Callithrix jacchus: one gene and its partner. The protein of the gene in region 1 interacts with the protein of each later gene in a pairwise test. Links are inferred from orthologs where the notes say so. Each region holds a gene or a part of one and is shown on either strand. Other genes may lie near its edges. The genes, in order: MBIP and PLEKHF2.

Region 1 (9,437 bases):
AATGTTCATTGCAGCACTGTTTACAATAGCAAAGACCTGGAATCAACCCAAATGCCCATTGATAATAGACTGGATTGGAAAAATGTGGCACATATACACTATGGAATATTATGCAGCAATCAGAAATGATGAGTTTGTGTCGTTTGTAGGGACATGGATGAATCTGGAGAACATCATTCTCAGCAAACTGACACAAGAACAGAAAATGAAATACCGCATATTCTCACTCATAGACGGGTGATGAAAAATGAGAACACATGGACACAGGGAGGGGAGTACTAAACACTGGGGTCTATTGGGGGGAAAAGTGTAGGCCCAGCACGGGGGTGGGGGTGGAAGCTGGGGAGGGATAGCCTGGAGAGAAATGCCAAATGTGGGTGAAGGGGAGAAAGGAAGCAACACACACTGCCATGTGTGTACCTATGCAACTGTCTTTCACGTTCTGCACATGTACCCCAAAACCTAAAATGCAATAAAATATTAAAAAAAAAAAAAAGAAAAGATTGCAAAACCCCACAAGTATCTTTATAATAAAGTTATATAATACTTTGTAAAGTTTCAATTCGGTTTTATGTCCTTCTAATTTCAAAGATTGTGGTTGCATATTATTTATCCAGGTTAAATTCCTGTTGGAATGATACTGACAGTGTTTCACATAGTCCCCTACTACCAACATTCACAAGGAACATCCAGGAGTCAAGGTAAGCTTCATGATGCTAACCCTTAAGAGACCACGACTCTAATGACCACCCCAAAGACAGCATTCTAGCCTAGCTTTGGTCTGCAATTCACTTCAGAGCTTCGGGGCAATGCCACAGCTGCAACTGATTGGTGTACGTGCTTGTCAGTCACATACAGAGGGTGGAGCCTCAAAGCCCGGATATAAACGAGACGCCGTGTCGTACGTCATCACCGAGCGACTAAAGCGGAAAAGGGAGGGGGCGGGGCTGTGAGCAATCCTTGGCGGCCTGAGAAGGTGTCATGGCTGCTGCCACGGAGCTTACTCGCCCGAGTAGCGGTGACAGGAATGTGGAGCGAAGATGCAGCCCCAGCCTCTCCCGAGAGGTGCTCTGCGAAATCTTTCGCTCCCTGCACACCCTGGTTGGACAGGTGAGAAGTGGCCTCAGGGATTGAGGGTATGGAAACCATCCGGCCTCTCCCCCTCATTCTTTTCCTCTAGCGGAGGCCAGAGGCAGCGAGGCCTGCCAAGGTCTGAGGTGCGGCCCCTGAAGCCGAGGTCGGGGAGGAGCCCGGGCCGAGCCGTCTCAGTCGGAGTGAGGAGGATGGCGGTACCGGTTGCCAAGTGGTTTACCTTGCAGCTGTCCTCCCCAGCAGTGGGTGAGGATGGTTTAAGTGAAAACCCGGCCCCGAGAGGAGCAGACTTGGAGAGAATGAATGTGGAAAAGCTTAACTGCGGATTTATGAGGCGCCTCGCGCTCAGGCTCCTTTTTCTTCCAACTTACTCAATTACGGGAATTGGTTGGTCAGTAGGCCTGAGATTTATAGAAAAGCGCGCTTATTAGCTTTTTTCAGGGGCTAGAGGGAGTAATTTGTTCTTATGAGTCACTTGGTTTTGTTTATTTCTTCTTTCCTTCGGGCTGTTTTGTGCATCTATTACCCTTTTAAATGGAGAGGAAAGTAAAAGGAATTCATTTAAAATACTTCTAGCGTAAAGTTGGATGAGTTATCCCTCTTTGATGTTGTTTGCAATAGAACGGGCGTTATTTAACTATTATTAAACGGGCGTAGTTTAACTGGCTGATAAATCGCTTTTGCAGAAATGTGGTAAAATTGGTTTTAAATTTAAATGGACTTCTTATTCTCTGTGATCAAGTCACTGTTTCGTTTCATGGTGTAAAATTCAAAGCAGATTTTAAATGTGAAACAGTTTAAAATTATGCTTCTTCACCTGCTTATTAAAAGGAAATATTTTCTATCTTACATAGACCATTTTCTAGCCGTAAAAGTTTGTTTTGGAGCTGGTACTAGTGCCTGTGGACACAGCAGGCATTTGTGTCAAAGACAATGGTAAATTCCTATAAAAATAGAACATTTGTCTGATTTGTGAAAATTATTTTTTTAAAGCCTTGAGTAGATGGAGAATCAGTCTTTTAAAAAGTTACTAAAGTAGTTTTAAAAATCGTAGTATGTTGTGTCTTACAAAGAACATTACTGTAAGTTTAGCGGTTTTATGTAATGACGCAGTTGTTAATGAAATCTGCTAAAAGATACAACTTTTAAACTCAATTGTTTGCCAAGTACTTACCAAAAACATTTTTTTAAACACTTGGGGTCTTTTGTTATTAACATTGTAGTCTTAAGAACCAAAACCTCTAAATGGTTTAAAAGTTAGAGAACTTTTTATGGCGACGTCGGAACTTGTTTATTTTCTAATGTCAAGATAAAAAAAGTTTATGCTCACCTATTAACAGAAGATGGAATATTTAAAAAAAATATTGAGCAATGATTTAAACTTTTCTTTTGAAATATTTTGCATACTGAATTTTTCAAACTCATTAGAAAATTTTAATGATTCAAGTACGGTAAAGTACAATTAAAGAAATGATTACAGTTTACTTATGTCACTTGTCAAAAATGTTGACAGTAAATATTTGGTGACTTTACTGTGACACAGTGAAGGGACCTCCTACACAAGTGTCAAAAATATGATTGTTTCATCAATTAAATGTAAACCACTTTCAAAATACTCTGTATTTTGAGAAATGTTTTTTAAGAGTGAAAGCCAGAGTTCAATACTTATAAAATTGCCCCCCCGAGAAATCAGTATTTTCTTTTGCGACCAGTTTAAAGGATTTTTAAAATGTATGTTGTAACATACCTAACTTATCCTGTGTCATCCCTAAGTATCATTGTATTATTAGATCTCCTCAGTAGGAAACACAAAACTGAATGTTAAAAATAATTTTTTACTTCAGATCACAAAATTTACTAATTTTAACCTTTTTGCTTGCCTCTGGATGGCCCATCTTACCAAGCTGAACAATTACTTATTTTTAGCTTGGATTTTTGTATTAATTTAGTAAAGTTAATGAAACTACATATTTAAATAGTCTATATTAATAGCAGACTAATAGAGATTTTCAAGTGAATGGTTTACTCTTCCAAGTTCTGTAGGGCAAAATGCATAGGATTCATGTGACTAATAATGAATGTCTTGAATGAATAGTTAGATGAATTAGGATAGTTTTATAATTAATTTGTGACATTATGTGGTTTTCTTAAAAGACCAATTATTCTTAATTGCACTTGAAGGTTTATATAATTCTGCTGAATTGAAATGAGAATATGAACCAAACATTAAGACTTATTTTTCTATACGTTATTTTCTCTAGAAAAATGTGATACTTTGCTTTGGTTGAGGATTTGCCTGCTTTATCCCCAAGCTGTATTCATAAGTTTTCTATAATCGAGTATAGATCTCTTTGAAGACTACAAAAGTATATTAATGGGTTACTTCCATACATAATATGGGTTGTTGTGTAGCAAAATCTTTATAGGCATTAAAGTAATATAAATTAATGCATTAACTTTAAAGTCTTAATATGTTCTAATCTTTGCCAGTGCAGCCTACATGAAATTTCATATATCTTTACACTTGTTTAATATGGACTTTTAAATTCTTCTGTTCTTATCTTAAAAGGGCAGTAAATTTCTGTCACATAGTGTTTATTCAATATATTATCTTTTTATTGGTAACCTTACATCTTTTTGATCTTTGTACAGTGATTCATCTTTATAACTCCTAAAATCTGTATTTGAACTAACGTAACAACTTTATTTTGTAGAAAAGATGATGAATTTTGAATTAATTATGTAACTTGTTTCTTTTATGGAATATATTCTTATGCTATCCTGTAAACATATGTCCCTAGGAAAGTTTATGATAGTTCACTTTTATTCACTCAAAAGACTGCAGATGGGTGCTATCACTGTAAAATTTTCATTCATTTTGATAATAATCTTATATTCAGGTTCTTTGTAATTTTCTGGGTATGATTTTATTCTGTTAGATCACCAACTGATACAAATTTCCATATAATGAGCCCTCACATCTTACCATTTAGCAAAAGATCTGGCCATTTCATCCAGTCTGACAACTTATTTCACTATTGTGGAGAAGTCTTTGTTTTTCAGCTTCAGACTTCCATAGCTAACTAATAGTTTTTTATTTGAAATAAACATGTTGCCATTTATCCCTGCTTTTAGTATGTATGAGTAATCTTGACTTTTAAATTAGTTTAAAATTTGGTTAAAGGTGAAAACAATAACAATGTGATTTGGAGAACATCAGAATAGTGATATATATCTGGTATGTATTTGTGTACGTACTTAAAGAGAAAAATGCATGTTAAAACTTTCACAAAACAGTTGTGCTTCCTCTGTTTACGGCTCTGAGCTAGAAGTAGTAGGATTCTGAATAGGGTAAGCCTATTTTGGACTCCATCCAAAGGTTTGTAGATATTGAAGAATCAAAAGAGCCTTCATCTTTTCATCTTTCATGAATGGTTTCACCTCTAAAATGATCCCGTTACACAGACCCAAGAATAGAATTTGAATGACATGTCATTTTGTTTTTGTTTTTTATGAAAATCTGTAGCTTTCGTGGCCATTTAAAATGGTAACTAGGTAGAGCATTTCAGTGTAAAACTTGATAACTTTGAGCAAAATAGACACGTTACTCTTGAAATCCTTTATTTGTGACAATTCCATATGTACAGTTTAATCTTATAATTTTTGTGATGTTGCTGGTTTGCCTTTTTGAAGCTTAACCTCAGAGATGATGTGGTGAAAATTACAATCGATTGGAACAAGCTCCAAAGCTTTTCGGCATTCCAGCCTGCGTTGCTCTTTAGTGCACTTGAACAACACATTTTAGATTTACAGGTAAATTTCTTGTTAGAAATGATAACCCGATATTGAAAACAGAAATTAATTGTGGTTAAATTAGAGTATTTGTCAGTTCTAAACACTCTATTAATAGTGTTGCTAATAAAAGGTTATTTACATCCAGATTGGATCTAAATCTGTTAATTTCAGTAGTGATCAGGACAGTTAAGGGAATATAGCCCAAAAGACTAATGTGGGTATGAGAGTGAATGAATGCAGTTCTGTTCAATTCTAGACCTGCACTGAAAATTCAATACAGTTCCATCTATGGTGGGTTATAATTAAGCAATAAGACACGGCAGGTGTGTGTCATGCTATGATAATGATTCCATGCCTTGGGTGAGTTTGGAGGCTCATGGAGTGCTTTCAGTGGTTCAAGAAGGGGCATTATCCCAGCATGACACATCCTGGAGTGTCTATTGCAATTAAACAGTTTCAGCATAGTTTTTAAAAAGAAAGTAATTTCTGTGACATTAATGTCTCATCTTAGTAAGTAGCCAGTCACTGTTTTCTTTTTCTTAACAGTTTGAAATAATTTATTCTTTATATTAGAAGCTAATATTGAACTGGTATTTATAATAGCATTGTTATATTTTTAAGTATTTCATGTTATGACCTTGCTAGTTTGTAATTGAACATCTTTCCAATTATAATTGATGTAAGTTTGCAGTTTATCTCTAATTAAAGTGTAAAATGTAAAGTGTCAAAAAGATAAGTGGAAGAACTGTTTGGATTGGTCAGTTTACTGTGATTAAGATGTTATACGGTTTCAGGAGAGTATTTGGTATAGCAAACAAGGGAAGCAAAATTGTGGATATGAAAAAAATAATTGGAACGTTATTAGTGTTAGTGTGTTTTGACTAATGGAATAGGCATTAATTTTCAGCTCTCCATTTATTGACTTTGTGGGAAATTTTAACTGTTTCACGTTAAAAGTAATAGTTAACCCTGTTTTCAAAGGGCAGAGCAGTGAGCTATAGAACTCAAATGAGGCCTAATTGTGTGGAGTGGGGGAGGAGAACAGTAAATGGATAATATCATTTATATTCTACAATAGGGGTTTTTTTCCCCCTGTAGTATAGTGATAGGCCTCTGCCTGTTTTCTGCCATAGATTTTTTTTTCTTGTTAGTTTTGTTTTTTAAAATTTAATCTTATGGCCCAAGAAGATATTTGCCATGTCAGGAAAAGTCTTGAGTGTTCACTCAGCCTAACACCTATATATTTCCTGTCTATGCTTCCTCATTCACATTGGCCAACTGCAGTTTCAAGTGGAGAATCTCCAGTGATACAGTGATAATGCAGGGCTTTGCTGAGTGAGAGCACTGGCTCTCCTGTTAAGGAGGAAAAATACTAAGCCTTAGTGTTCTGAGGAGGCATTTGAATGACATGTTAATTAAGTGGCATTGGTGCCAGAGGCTGAAGGCTTTGATTTGGCACAAAATAAAAGATAAGTGACAGAATGATTCTCTCAAAGAAAATTTTAAATTTCCTTAGGTTTTCTAATCTTTTTTCTTTTTTCCTCTCTTCTTTTAAAATTTATAGCAAATGATAATGGTTACAATAGCAAAGAATAGTAAATACTTATATGAAGTCAGATCTATGTGTCCTGGTGTACTAACTTTTTATATTTAGTAATATTAAATATTTAATTTAGCAGAAATTTATGTAAATATATTAAATGTGTAATTAATTTGGGTCAGTTTGAATCTCAGCAGATGGAATTGTGTTGTTCTCAGCCTTTTTTAGCAAAACTTCAGTCTCCAGTTAAAGAGGAGAATACAACCGCTGTTGAAGAGATAGGAAAAACAGAAACGGGGAACAAAAATGAAGTAAATGACAAATTTTCCTTTGGCGACCTACAAAAGGAAGAAAAGCACAAAGAATGTGATTTAGGAGATGTGAAAAAGACACAGATCCATTTTGATCCAGAAGTAGTTCAGATAAAGGCTGGAAAAGCAGAAGTAAGAAGTTTTTTTGGTGGGGATGAGAGGGTATTACTTTTAAAAATCTTATGTTTACACTGTTAAAACTTGTTGTTTGTAGATTGACAGACGAATATCTGCATTTATTGAAAGAAAGCAAGCTGAAATCAATGAAAACAACGTCAGAGAGTTTTGCAATGTTATTGATTGTAATCAAGGTAACTACCTAGAAATTAATTTTCATAGGATTTTAAGTACAATTTTTATAGTTGCTCTAATCTTTTATTTATTTTTTAAATGAATGGCTTTAAGAACACAATTCAGTTTATTTCACAGGTTTAGTTAGTAACTAAGGCAGTAGACTTTTCTTCTGCTTAATAATAGACTATGTTGCAAATTGGTTTTGATTTTGGTTACACAAAAATCAAATAAATGCAAACATTAAAAGTGTTTACCACAGGTGAAGATTATTTTAAAGTTCCTTTAGGAAATGGTGGTGAGTTATGAAAGACAGGGTTGATCAATCTCAATAGTAAAAGGAACTAAGCTGTATGAATTTCAAACCTATAAATGTACTATGAAATCATGATGTTAATATATGTGAACTTAGTAAAGTTAATATTCCTCCAGAGGGAACAGTTTTCTCACTACCCCTGAGCTGTTTGAAATGTCCTATGTCACAATACAACCAATTTATCATGAAGACCATGATGTCTTGCTTTTTTCCTTTCTGTCATAGTGCATGCATTTGCTGCTTTTCATCAGATTCTCCTTTACCTCTTCACTTGATGCTACAGTACATTTACAAATCTGCAGGTACGCTGCAGAATACAAAATATTGTAAAGCAGTGCCATAGATCATACTCAGTCATCATAGTAATAATCAGAACAAGTAGTTCTTAGGAAAAATTATGGAGAAGAGTTCATATGGAATGAACATTTTTCTTGTTGCCTCTAATATCTCATGGCTAAAATTATTATGAACATATAATTGACAGATGAACCTAGAGATGACTCATATCACATTGGTACACTGATTCTCTTAATAATGAAATAATATAAACTGGTCCTGAATTTAGGTGTGTGCTACTATTAACATTATACATGTGCATATCTAAATATGGTATATTTTCTTGTAGCTTTTCAGAATAGGTGCAACAATGACAAAATCTCAGGTACTACAACCAACTGCAAGCGACTATGAGAAAGGATTTGTTGAGAGAGCAAGCACATGTGTCACTAATGTTATTCCTCTGTTCTCCCTGCTAACTCTATTATTATAAACCACCAGGGGATAGAAATTGACAAGAATTGAAATGCTCAGCAGGATTCCTTGGCCCATTCAATTCCTTGCTGGCTCAAAACAGTGCTAGCAAGAATTGCTGTGGAGAGTGGCTAGCACTCATACATTCACACCATGCTGAATTTCTCACTGATGGGTCAGTTAATCTATATGTTTGGAATATAGTTCTGGAATAGATGATAGCTTCTTTTTTTAACCCTTAGCCCCATGAAATGGTAGGAAGAGAATGCAAAAGGATGACCCTTTAAGCATATTTTGAGGTACATCCATAAAAAAAAAAAAAAGAAGAAGAAGAAAAGATGACTAGTCTCTAGGTATAAAAGCTAAGTGGATTTGGAATTTTATTCATACTATTTGATTTATCAGCAGAATTACTAAGTTAAGTTCAACTGAAAAAAAAATGTATTTTAATATAGTAGTGCATTCCTCTTAATAACCTATGAATTTAACTTAAATATAAGCAGAGGCATTTTTAAAATTGAAATTCCATGGGGGAGAAAAAAGAATTTTTTAAAATAATCTCAACAGCCATTTCTTAAAAAATATTCAAGGGAATTTTACAGGATATTTACTGCCAATGTGTGGTTTTTAAACATTATTTCAAACACAAGAGTATATTATTACTATGTAGTATCATATATATACTATATATTAATATATAACAATTATGTTAATATTAGTCATATTCTATGTTAACATTCCAATTTTCCCCTTTTGTAATTTATGCATTGTTATCTAATTTCAAAGAAACTATACTTTTCAGCAAGTGGTAGGATAGAAGTAGATGACTTTTGTGATGAGGGGATTTTTTATTTTTATTTATTTTTATTGCATTTTAGGTTTTGGGGTACATGTGCAGAACATGAAAGACATTTGCATAGGTACACACATGGCAGTGTGTTTTGCTGCCTTCCTCCCCTTCACCCACATTTGGCATTTCTCCCCAGGCTATCCCTCCCCAGCTCCCCCTCCCGCTTGCCCTCCCCTCTTCCTGCCAATAGACCCCAGTGTTTGGTACTCCCTTCCCTGTGTCCATGTGTTCTCATTTTTTATCACCCACCTATGAGTGAGAATATGCGGTATTTCGTTTTCTGTTCTTGTGTCAGTTTGCTGAGAATGATGTTCTCCAGATATATCCATGTCCCTACAAACGACACGAGCTCATCATTTTTGATTGCTGCATAATATTCCATGGTGTATATGTGCCACATTTTCCCAATCCAGTCTATCATCAATGGGCATTTGGGTTGGTTCCAGGTCTTTGCTAATGTAAACAGTGCTGCAATGAACATTCGTGTGCATG
Region 2 (10,232 bases), on another chromosome or scaffold:
CATGCCTGCCTATCTTCGTGCCCACCCGCCTGGTGGCTGAACTTGAGCTAAGAAGTGGACAAACATGTGGGTGAAATCAGGTAAAAGTTAGGTTTGGAGCCAGGCACGGTGGCTCACACCTGTAATCCCAGCACTTTGGGAGGCAGAGAAGGGCGGATCATAAGGTCAGGAGTTTGAGACCAGCCTGGCCAACATGGTGAAACCTTGTCTCTACTAAAAATACAAAAAATTAGCCGGGCATGGTGGCGCATGCCTGTAACTGCAGCTACTTGGGAGGCTGAGGCAGGAGCACTTGAAACCAGGAGGCAGAGGTTGTGGTGAGCTGAGATCATGCCACTGTACTCCAGCCTGGGCAACAGAGCAAGGCTCTGTCTCAACTAAATAAATAAGTCAGTCAGTCAGTCAGGGCTGGAGATGAGTGGAGGGGATAGATTCATACAGAGTCAAAGGGAGATAAGGTGAGGAGTGGGATTGGGTGGCTGCAACTGAATGACAGTGTGTGCACATAGCATTTTTCCTGTTTGTGAACAGCCCTTGTGCGTTCTCAACTTCAAGAATATAAAGTCATTGAAGAGGCATAAAGATGTTGGAAAGACCTTTGCAAGAATTGGCCAGGGACCTGTGAATCAGACATGTCAAGGATTAATATACCATTTCCTGCATTTTCACGAGTGGTAAAAATTTATATTTTCTTAGTAATTTCAACAGCAGCAACATTCACTACTACTACAACTATTGCCAACACATCCTCTGTTTATTGAGCATCTATTATTTGCTAGGTGCCGTGCTGTGTGTTGTACTTATATTATCACTAATCTTTATAATCCTAGGGAATAGGGATTGTTTTCCTCATTCTATACATTTTACAAATAAAGAAATTGAGTTGCAGGCTGGGTGTGGTGACACACCTATAATCCCACACTTTGGGAGGCTCAGGTGGGTGGATCACCTGAGGTTAGAAGTTCGAGACCAGCCTGGCCAACATGGTGAAACTCTGTCTCTACTAAAAATACAAAAATTAGCTGGGTGTTGTGGTGCATGCCTGTGGTTCCAGCTACTCAGGAGGCTGAGACAGGAGAATCACTTGAACCCAGGAGGGAGAGGTTGCAGTGAGCTAAGATTGTGCTACTGCACTCCAGCCCCAAGTGACAGAGCAAGACTCCATCTCAAAATAATAATAATAATAAATAAATAAATAAATAATAAATCGAGGAGCAGAGCAATTAAGTCACTTACACAGGGTTAGACAACTAAAAACTTACAAAATCAGATTTTGAACCTCCAGGTCTATCTGGCTTTAAACTCTAAAAGTTTTTATTTTATTTAAAAATAAAATTTTAAAACAAAATCATGCTTAAGTTTCGTGTTTTTACATGGGGATATAAATGACATATTTATGCCAGTATTCTGGAAAAATATGTTGCTATTTATTTATTTAGAGAAAGAGTTTCACTGTCGCCCAGGCTGGACTGCAGCGGTGCGATCTCAGCTCACTGCAACCTCTGCAATTCTCCTGTCTCAGCCTCCTGAGTAGCTAAGACTACAGGCTTGTGCCACCACGCCCAGCTAATTTTTATATTTTTAGTAGAGATGAGGTTTCATCATGTTGGCCAGGCTGGTCCTGAACTCCTGACCTCAGGCTGTCTGCCGTGGCTTCCTAAAGTGCTGTGATTACAGGCATGTGCCATCATGCCCAGCTAATTTTTGTATTTTTAGTAGAGATGAGGTTTCACCATGTTGGCCAGGCTGGTCTTGAACTCCTGACCTCAGGCTGTCTGCCTTCCCAAAGTGCTGTGATTACAGGCATGGCTTGCTTTTTAAATAGAGTATGTTGTTTTATAATGTACCTAACATACTAGGTATAATAGGTATGTGTATATATAAATATGCACCATATATATTATGCATATAATTGTGTGTGTGTGTGTGTGTGTGTGTGTGTGTGTGTATGACTGGGTCTTGCTATGTTGCCCAGTCTGGATTTGAACTCTTGGCCTCAAATGATCCTCCAGCCTCAGCCTCCTGAGTAGCTGGGTATATTATATATGTAATATTTTTTATTTCACACTTATGTAGCACTATATATGTACATTATATATGTAATAATTTTATTTCACACTTGTAAAGTGTGACAGGTATATGCTTTACATATATTAATTCATTTAATCTTCATAACTCTGTGATATACTTTTATTATCTCCATTTTACAAGTGAAAAAACCAAAGTCATATTTGGATGTGCCCTAAGATACAGGTTGTTAGAGGCAAAGCCAATCATGCCCTTTACTTAAGCTAAATAAGTACATGGGAAGTGGGGAGGGCAAACATTTTTACTAATAACAGTGACCAAAAATATTTGATGACTAATGCTCTAGGCTTGACCCGAGACCACCAGTCAGACATAGCAATTCCTACTTTCAAGATTTAAAAGGATTTTAAGCATTATTTAGTCCTGCCTTTTCTCCACTGATAGATACTGCTGTGCAGGCAGAGGTGAATGAGGTAGAGTGATATACAGACAAGAGTCTTGGAGACATCTGTACTCGGAAAACTGTGTATGTGTGTATGATCATACAACTTTCCCCATTAAAAAATGTTCATCTTTGCCAATTTTGTTCTAATTATTAATTAAAAAAAAAAGACTTGTTTGTTTCAGAGACAAACTCTATTGAAAGAGAGGAGGATGGGAGGCAGAAGGCCTGGATGAGAATCCCAGGTGGAAGAGCAGAGAAACCCAAGCCTGCTCTCTTCCCTGGGTGCTCATCCACGTGCAGCTTGGCTGGTAATGGCTCTAATTCAATGGCAATCAAACCCAGGATAAAACAATTTTCTGAAATAATAGATGAACAAGAAACATAAAATTTACCAAAACCTAATTTCCACCTACACACACACTTAGTTTAAAATAAGTATGCTGTTCTCCCCACCTCGTCCCCATCCTTGGTTTACCCTAAGCAACTTTGTTACCTTTCCATACACCCACCAGAGCGCTTAGCTAGCAGATTAATTAGGGCACATTTAACCTTACATACTATGCTATAATTACAGTTTCTAGGTATGTGAAGTAGGTTGAGAGGTTTTGTGTAGTCAACGTTTTGGAAAGACCAGAATTCTAAAGTATGCACTTAAAAGAAATGGCTGGATGGAGCACGTGGGGTATGTGTGTGTCGCCGCAGTTCCCTTAGTTTCAAGAAGAGGGATTTTAGGTAAAACAAAGGGAAAGTGAGACGGAAAGGATTGCCCTGCTAAATGAGAGCGGCAAAAGCCGGTTCCGACGCCTTTGGGCATCTAAATCCAAAGCCTGCCTTTCCCGTTCTTCAGTTCCCTGGGGAGGGCTGTTGGGGGTGGGAGGTGTCTTTCTTCCATTCTTCCACTCTCCCTAAAAACTTCGTAGACAGTTGACCAATACTTAACTAAAGGCTTATCGGAGTCAGGAAAGCCAGGTAGGGCACCCCACGTGGACCTCAACGCATCGCGGAAGCACGTCCCGACATCACACAAGAACAAGCTCCACCCGAGGCAGTTCCCGGGTGGGTGTGGCCTCCGTCGAAGGCCCCGCCCCTAGAGCGCGTCGTTAGGGGCGGGGCGAGGGAACTGGCGAGAAAGGGCGGGGAGCGAGTGGTGTGGGTGTGCTCGTGCCCGCGCACTCGTGCCCGGCGTGTGGGCGAGGGCGCGCCCGTGCGCGCGCAGGGGAGAGGCCAATCTAGGCTGCCGTTGTGGAGTTCCACTGGAGGGGCGGGTGAGTCACCTGCGAGCGGCTGCGCTGGCGGCCCGCCAGTCGCCCGCCGCGTCTGGATCGCGCTGGCTGCGCGGGACTGCGGACCGCACACACCCTGGGAGGCCCGGGCGGGGAACGGGCAGAGTCTGAGCCCAGCGTCCGCGACGAGGAGGAATCGGACCTACGCTTTCGCCGCCTTCCGCGGCCGTCGGGGTAGGTGAAGCCTGGGTGGGTGGTCCGCCGGCTCCTGGCTGGCCGGGAGGGGAGACGCGAAACTTTCCCGGCGCTTCCTCCCGCGGTCCCGGAGCCGTCGCGGCGCCGGGAGGTGTCGTCGTCGCGGGCGGTGGCGGCGGACGCCATGTTGGGGTCTGTGAGAAACGGGGCGCTCCCGGCCGCTCCCCTCGCGCCCGGGCTGGCTCCCTGGCCAGTCGCCGCCACCGTCCCGCCAGCCCTGGAGAGAGCTGCGCCCGCCTGTAGGACGCCGCCGCCGCCGCTGCGAGGGAACGGGGGCCGGCGGGGAGGGTTCTGTCCACCGATCTGCGGGGCAGGGGCCGGCGGACGCGGGAAGAAGCCCCCGGGCCGGGCGGGAAGTTGTAGGGCCTGAGGTCGGGGGTCCGGGACACGGCCAGGGTCGTCTCAGGGTCCCAACAATTTTCTGGCCGAAAAGTTTGCAGGGTCTGCACATCGGGGACGTTGTAAACTGAATTACATATTTGTATGTCACTTGGGAGAAAAAAAATGGCCTTGCAGAACTTGCTCTGATAGAAGCGATGGTTTATTTATTTGGAGCCTTTAAAGTTTTATGATCCTTTGCCGATTTTATTTTTCTTTCTAAAAACGTGATTGAAGGCCGAGAGCGCGCTGCTGGTGCGGCTTGAATAGCCTTGTGCGCTCTCCGTACATTCCAGCAATAACTGGAGTGTGCGGTGGAAGTGGGTATGAAGGTTACGGACACCTAACCCCTCCTCGGTAATTCATAGACTCACCAAACACGTTGTTAATAAATGCTTTTTTTGTGGTGTTGTGTAGTACGTTGCTGAAGAGAGTCATTAGAGAAAGATTTAGACACAAACTTTGAGAGTCTTAAAGGCATGTGTTCTCTTAAGAATGAGGTGATCTTGACAGTTTGGTTTTTTTCCTCCCTTTAGTGTCTTAAGAGTGAATGCCTACGGTGTTTTGAGCATTTACCTCTTTTTTTGATACTCTGGTACCTCGTGGGGTCTTCACGTTCATTCAGTATTAATGAAGGCTTCAGTGTAATCTCTTTGGGTCCCGACCACACACGAGGTGAGTGGTATTAACCTTTTTATTTGGAACGTACACGTAATCGGCCTCAAAACTAGTGTAGTGACTAAGGCATCAAGAGAAAAGATTCAGCCTCAGTAAATAAATCTAAATTATTTTTAAATAAAGGCATCTTTAAAATTCTGTTTAAATGAATTGAAAAGGCTCTTAAGCACCAATACAATAAGCCCTAAAACACCAAATTCTTGGAGAATTTTTTTACTTTTTAGATCTAAAAATACAGCTTTTGCTCATATTTGATTGCCAATTTCTTTTTACTTTTTTCCCTCCCTCACTCACTCCCTTTCTTTCTCCCTTTCTTCCTTACTTTTCCTTCTTTTCCTTTTGTGAGACAGGGTCTCGCTCTGTCGCCCAGGCTGGAGTGCAGTGGTGTCATCTCAGCTCACTGCAGCCCTGACCTCCCGGGCTTAGGCCATCCACCTCAGCCTCCTGAGTAGTTAGGACTGCAGGTGCGCACCACCATGCCTGGCTAATTTTTGTTTGAATTTGTAGAGACAAGGTTTTGCCATGTTGCTCAGGCTTTATTGCTAACTTCTGTTGTTGATAAAAATTCTTTTAGTTTTGCTTCATTGTCAAGTAAATGCCATTATACTACTTATTTATTTTTATGGATGAACGATTTCTTAGAATTGAAATGACTTAACTAATTTCACAAATGTAGCAGCCAAGCTGGTATTTAACTGAGATCTGAGTCTGAAGCCTTCTTATTTTTCCTATAGCATAACTTTGTAAGATACATAACTAAGTCCTCTGGAGCAATCTGTCCATCTTGTTTACTGTTAGCATTGTTCTTTCTGATTTGAATTTAGTTCTTCAGTATAAGCACTTATTTCTCAGAGAGCTGATTTACAAGTGGTTCTTGTGATGAAATTTTTCCTTAAAAATATTTAGGCCTATATTCTTTGAAGCCTTTTCTGCTGTGTTCTCTCATTCCACTCCCTCTCTCTCCCCAGAAATCAATTTCTCCCATGGTATTACTGTAAATGCCGCATAGATCTGTCATGACATCTCTTTGACAGCAGGCAACACATCGGGTCTGATTTGCCTCTTCATTCCCTGCATGCCAAGAGCATAGCAGATGCTCAGGAAAGGTTTGAATGGATGAGTGCACATATGTTTGTTCCTTGTAAATTTGCTTCATGAATTTCTTATGAAATCATAAATTCCATGAGCAGCATAGTTAAGTCTTCTTTGTAGTCTTTTTCCCATTACATGCCATCAGCTCCATTAAATCCTCAAACTGGTTTATTGTGTGTGTGTGTGTGCGCGCACGTGCATATATGTATGTATTTTGTTGTGGTGGTGGTGTTGAGAATTTAGTAACTGAGTGAATTTTGGCCTGGGGAAACTTACTAAGTTCCATAATATTTATGCAACTTAAATATTAATGAAATTTCTAAGTAGATAATGGATTAAAGTATAATTACTGATGTATGAGAGAGAAGCCATGGATCATCAAAGGGATTATAATCATAATTTTAAGTGTGATTGAATTTATTTGAACTTGATGGAAATATTGTTAATGCTTGAAAATTTTGAAGGTCATATTTATACATTTAAGCTCTTGGAACAAATCTCATTATAGCTTTATCAATTATTGTTTTGCCAGAATTGTGTTAGAATTTTTTAAATGCCTTGCTTAATAGGAAGTATATGAATTTTATTCTTCTATTGTAAGTTTATCTTTGCTGAACCAGCTTTGTACATGAACTGCCTGCTTAATACTTAAAAACAAGGTATGTGTTAAGTGAATAAAAAATACTTCATGAATACGCTTTCACAGTGTTACTTTAAGTTGCAAAACTTCTCTAGGTTAAGGTGTTTTGTAATTCTGTAATGACTGTAGAATTTAGGGTTTTATTTCCTGCCCCCACCCAAGGTAACTTTCTCCCCTGTCAAACTGTAAACCACAAACTACTGTGCTCAATTTAGGGAGGTCCTGGGAAGAGAATAAAAGGCATTCAAATAGTTGCTGTGAATGTACTGGAAAGAGAGCAAGTTGTAGGATGGACTGGAACAAATAAACCTCGTCCTGGCTCAGCTCCTTGCTAGCTTGTGACTTGAACAAGCCACTTCACTTCTGTAAGCTTCACTGACTCATTTGTGAAATGGGCCTCAGAAAAAGTTGCCTCAGTGATATCGGATCACCCAAGATTCGATGTTTGTGGAATGGCCTGGAATATGATAGTAGGTATTATTTTAACAAATGAACAGAGTGGCAGTGAACTATATAGAATTATATTCTCTTTTAAAGGGAAGCAGCCTGTAGAAATACCTAGTTCGGTTTTTACCTTGGCTGCACATTAAAATCTCCTGAGGGGCTACTTAAAAATACTATTGCCTGGATCCCACCCCAGGACAAATAAATCAGAATTACTTGGTTTGGGGACAGAACATAGATAATTTTGCCTCTTTTTTAAAAGCACCCTGATTTTAGTGTTCAGTCAGATGGAGAACCTTTGATTTAACTCAATCTCTCATCTCCTTTTTTATTCTCTTCATTTCGTAGTTGTATAAAATGAAGAGGGGTTTGTTTAGCTGCTAGCAAAATTCCTATTAGGCAGGCTGGAAAGGATGTATTAAATATTTGCAGCTGAGGAAAGCAAAGTGCATAGAGGTTAAGTAAAAGTTACAGTCATTTCTGGCCAGAATGGCCACATTTGCATCTGTACTTCACTAACTCCAGTGACCCTTACCCCTACTCTACATCAGCAGGCTGCAGGTTATGACCATGTTACTTAATCTTGTCATCATTCGGAACCATTCTACCTCACGTCTTAAACCCTGTGGCCAGATGGCAATGCAAGGGTCTGTTTTGTTTCTCTTTTCTGTCATATCTGGTGAAGCAGCTTTTTGTCCTTATTGTCACCTCCAGTCCCTCCTAGGCCATTAGTTGTCTTCCTTCTTTCCAACCTTGAACTCTGTAGTTTATATTCTCACCATGAACTCACTAGACCACATAGTACCTCCTCTCCTTGATCTTTGCTGGGTATAACTGGTCAATTTGCTGCTTTTGTCCCTGCCCCACACTCCCCTCAGAAGTCACACTTCTGGTGCTTGTTACATATTTGTTTTCTACTGTTTGTTTTCTGCCTGCTGTGTACTAGTCACTTTCTAATTCAAGTTGACTCATTTTCTCTGTTGCTTTTTCACTCCAGTCAGGTTGCTAACCCCAGTCTTGAAACACTTGACTTTGAGCAGATTACCTTGCTTCCTTCTAAAATGATTAAGATTTTATGATGTGAATTTTCTATTTTCTTCTTTGCACCAACTTTTCATCTTTTTTTCTTCGCATTTTCAGAAGTGGAACTATTTTGAAAGCTTTATAGTTGTTTCATTTAAACAACAGTTGGGGGAAAATAAAGATTTTTGTGTTCTTTGCTCATATTTTTATTAATTGTACATATAACTGTATTTTGCTTTTTATATTTATATTTTTCTACACATTATTCTTTGTTCCCAAACTAAAAGCGTTTTTTTTTTTTTTTTTTTTTTTTGTCTATGAGGGAATGTGTTCATCACAAAATAATTAGGCATATCAAAATATTATTAGTCTAGTACTTAGAGATAACCAGTACTAACTTTTTGGTGTTTATCAACCACTTTTAAGTAACAAATAGGCTTATACTATATGTGCTGTTTAAAAACTTTTATTTAATAAAATGTTTTAGCAGTTTTTCCACATTAAATATTATGTTTTTTTAAAAGTTTCCTAAAAATTCATGGATGTACCAAAATTTATTTAATTAGTCTCCTATTGATAAATATTTAGGTTGTTTCTAGCTTTTCAGTATCATAGACAGAGCTACAGTGAACTTCATGTGAACAACTTTGTACATTGTTAATTTTTGTATATATTATTGGAAATAGTAATGTTGTTTAAACTTCTTAAAGCATTTGTATTGCCAAAAATGGCATTTAGAAACGTTGTTCCAGTGTGTATACAGTATTGTCAAGAATATGAGGCCCATTTTTAACCACATTTTAGAGAGATGAATAATATGTTAATATCATTTGAATTTTTATTTGATTGGGACTGAGAGTCATTTTTTAAATTTATTGATTATTTTTATTTGTTGTAGTTGGTTTCTTTTTTTTTTTTTTTTTTTTGAAATTGACATTTATTTCTTATTTTTCTGTTGGGATGTTTTCCTTTTTTTTTTGTAAATTTACAGGAGCCCTTTGTATATTAAAAATGTTGGCTGGGTGCAGTGGCTCACGCCTGTAATCCTAGCACTTTGGGGGGCCAAGGTGGGCAGATCAGATTGCTGGAGTCCAGGAGTTTGAGACCAACCTGGGCAATATAGCAAAACCCCATCTCTACAAAATATATAAAAATTAGCTGGGCATGATGGCATGCCTATAGTCCCAACTACTCAGGAGGCTGAGGTGGGAGGATTGCTTGAGATCAGAAGGTGGAGGTTGCAGTGAGTGGAGATTGTGCCACTGCACTCCAGCCTGAGTGACAGAGCAAGACCCTGTCTCATAAATAAATAAATGAATAAATGAATGTTGACTTTTTGCCATGTAACTTTAATATTCTTCCCCCAATGATGAAGTTTTAGAAGTTTAGGTAGTAAAATTTTACGATAGCTTTTTGTGATATATTTAACTATTCCTCAGCTAGAAATTTAGGTTTTGTTTTTCACAATTAGAGTTAATGCCAGAGAGAAAACTTTTTACATGCTGCACCCCCTCCACCCCTTTCCTCCAGTTTATTTCTCCAGGATACATTTTTGTGGGTAAAAATTCCAAATATTTTATTGTTATACATTACCATTAATCCTTGATTTTTTTTATCCATATGTCTCACTGCTGATTGTGACCTTCTGGCAGGTTATTTAGTCTCTGAGAGTTGTGAAACATGTGAGGGCAGGTTGAAAAGGTGCTTTGTGCTCCTTTGTCTCCCATTCTTTTTTCTCTTAATTTTCCTCCGGCTTTCTAATGGGGGTTCCCCAAGGTTGAGTCCTCTGCCCTCGTTTTTCTTCCATGCATCAGCCAGCATCTCTAGGTGGGTGACTACCACATCTCTGTCTGTCCTGGAGCTCCCTGCTCATCCTGGCATCTCTGTCCTGCAGATGTTTGTCTTGTGGATGCCATGCTGGACTTCAAGATAAGTATGTCCTAAACTGATTTCTTCTCTCTCCTGAAACAAAGCTAGCATCTGCCCAGTGGCTTACCCTGAAGCCTTTGAAGTCATCTTACACTCA

What was found.
Region 2: the proteins of MBIP (region 1) and PLEKHF2 interact in binary tests that used the Homo sapiens proteins (3 or more experiments, as listed by UniProt). The two-hybrid records come from large-scale screens. The link is inferred for Callithrix jacchus from reciprocal best matches to the Homo sapiens genes MBIP and PLEKHF2.

What each region holds. Positions count from the first base shown.
Region 1 is NC_133509.1:70,904,706-70,914,142, reverse strand, and holds the start of MBIP (MAP3K12-binding inhibitory protein 1), read left to right. Parts: upstream 1-962; 5' UTR 963-981; coding exon 982-1,110; intron 1,111-4,785; coding exon 4,786-4,905; intron 4,906-6,645; coding exon 6,646-6,870; intron 6,871-6,952; coding exon 6,953-7,049; intron 7,050-9,437. UniProt on the Homo sapiens protein: Inhibits the MAP3K12 activity to induce the activation of the JNK/SAPK pathway. Component of the ATAC complex, a complex with histone acetyltransferase activity on histones H3 and H4.
Region 2 is NC_133517.1:32,075,427-32,085,658, reverse strand, and holds the start of PLEKHF2 (pleckstrin homology domain-containing family F member 2), read left to right. Parts: upstream 1-3,775; 5' UTR 3,776-3,930; intron 3,931-4,865; exon of another isoform or gene 4,866-5,004; intron 5,005-10,232. UniProt on the Homo sapiens protein: May play a role in early endosome fusion upstream of RAB5, hence regulating receptor trafficking and fluid-phase transport. Enhances cellular sensitivity to TNF-induced apoptosis.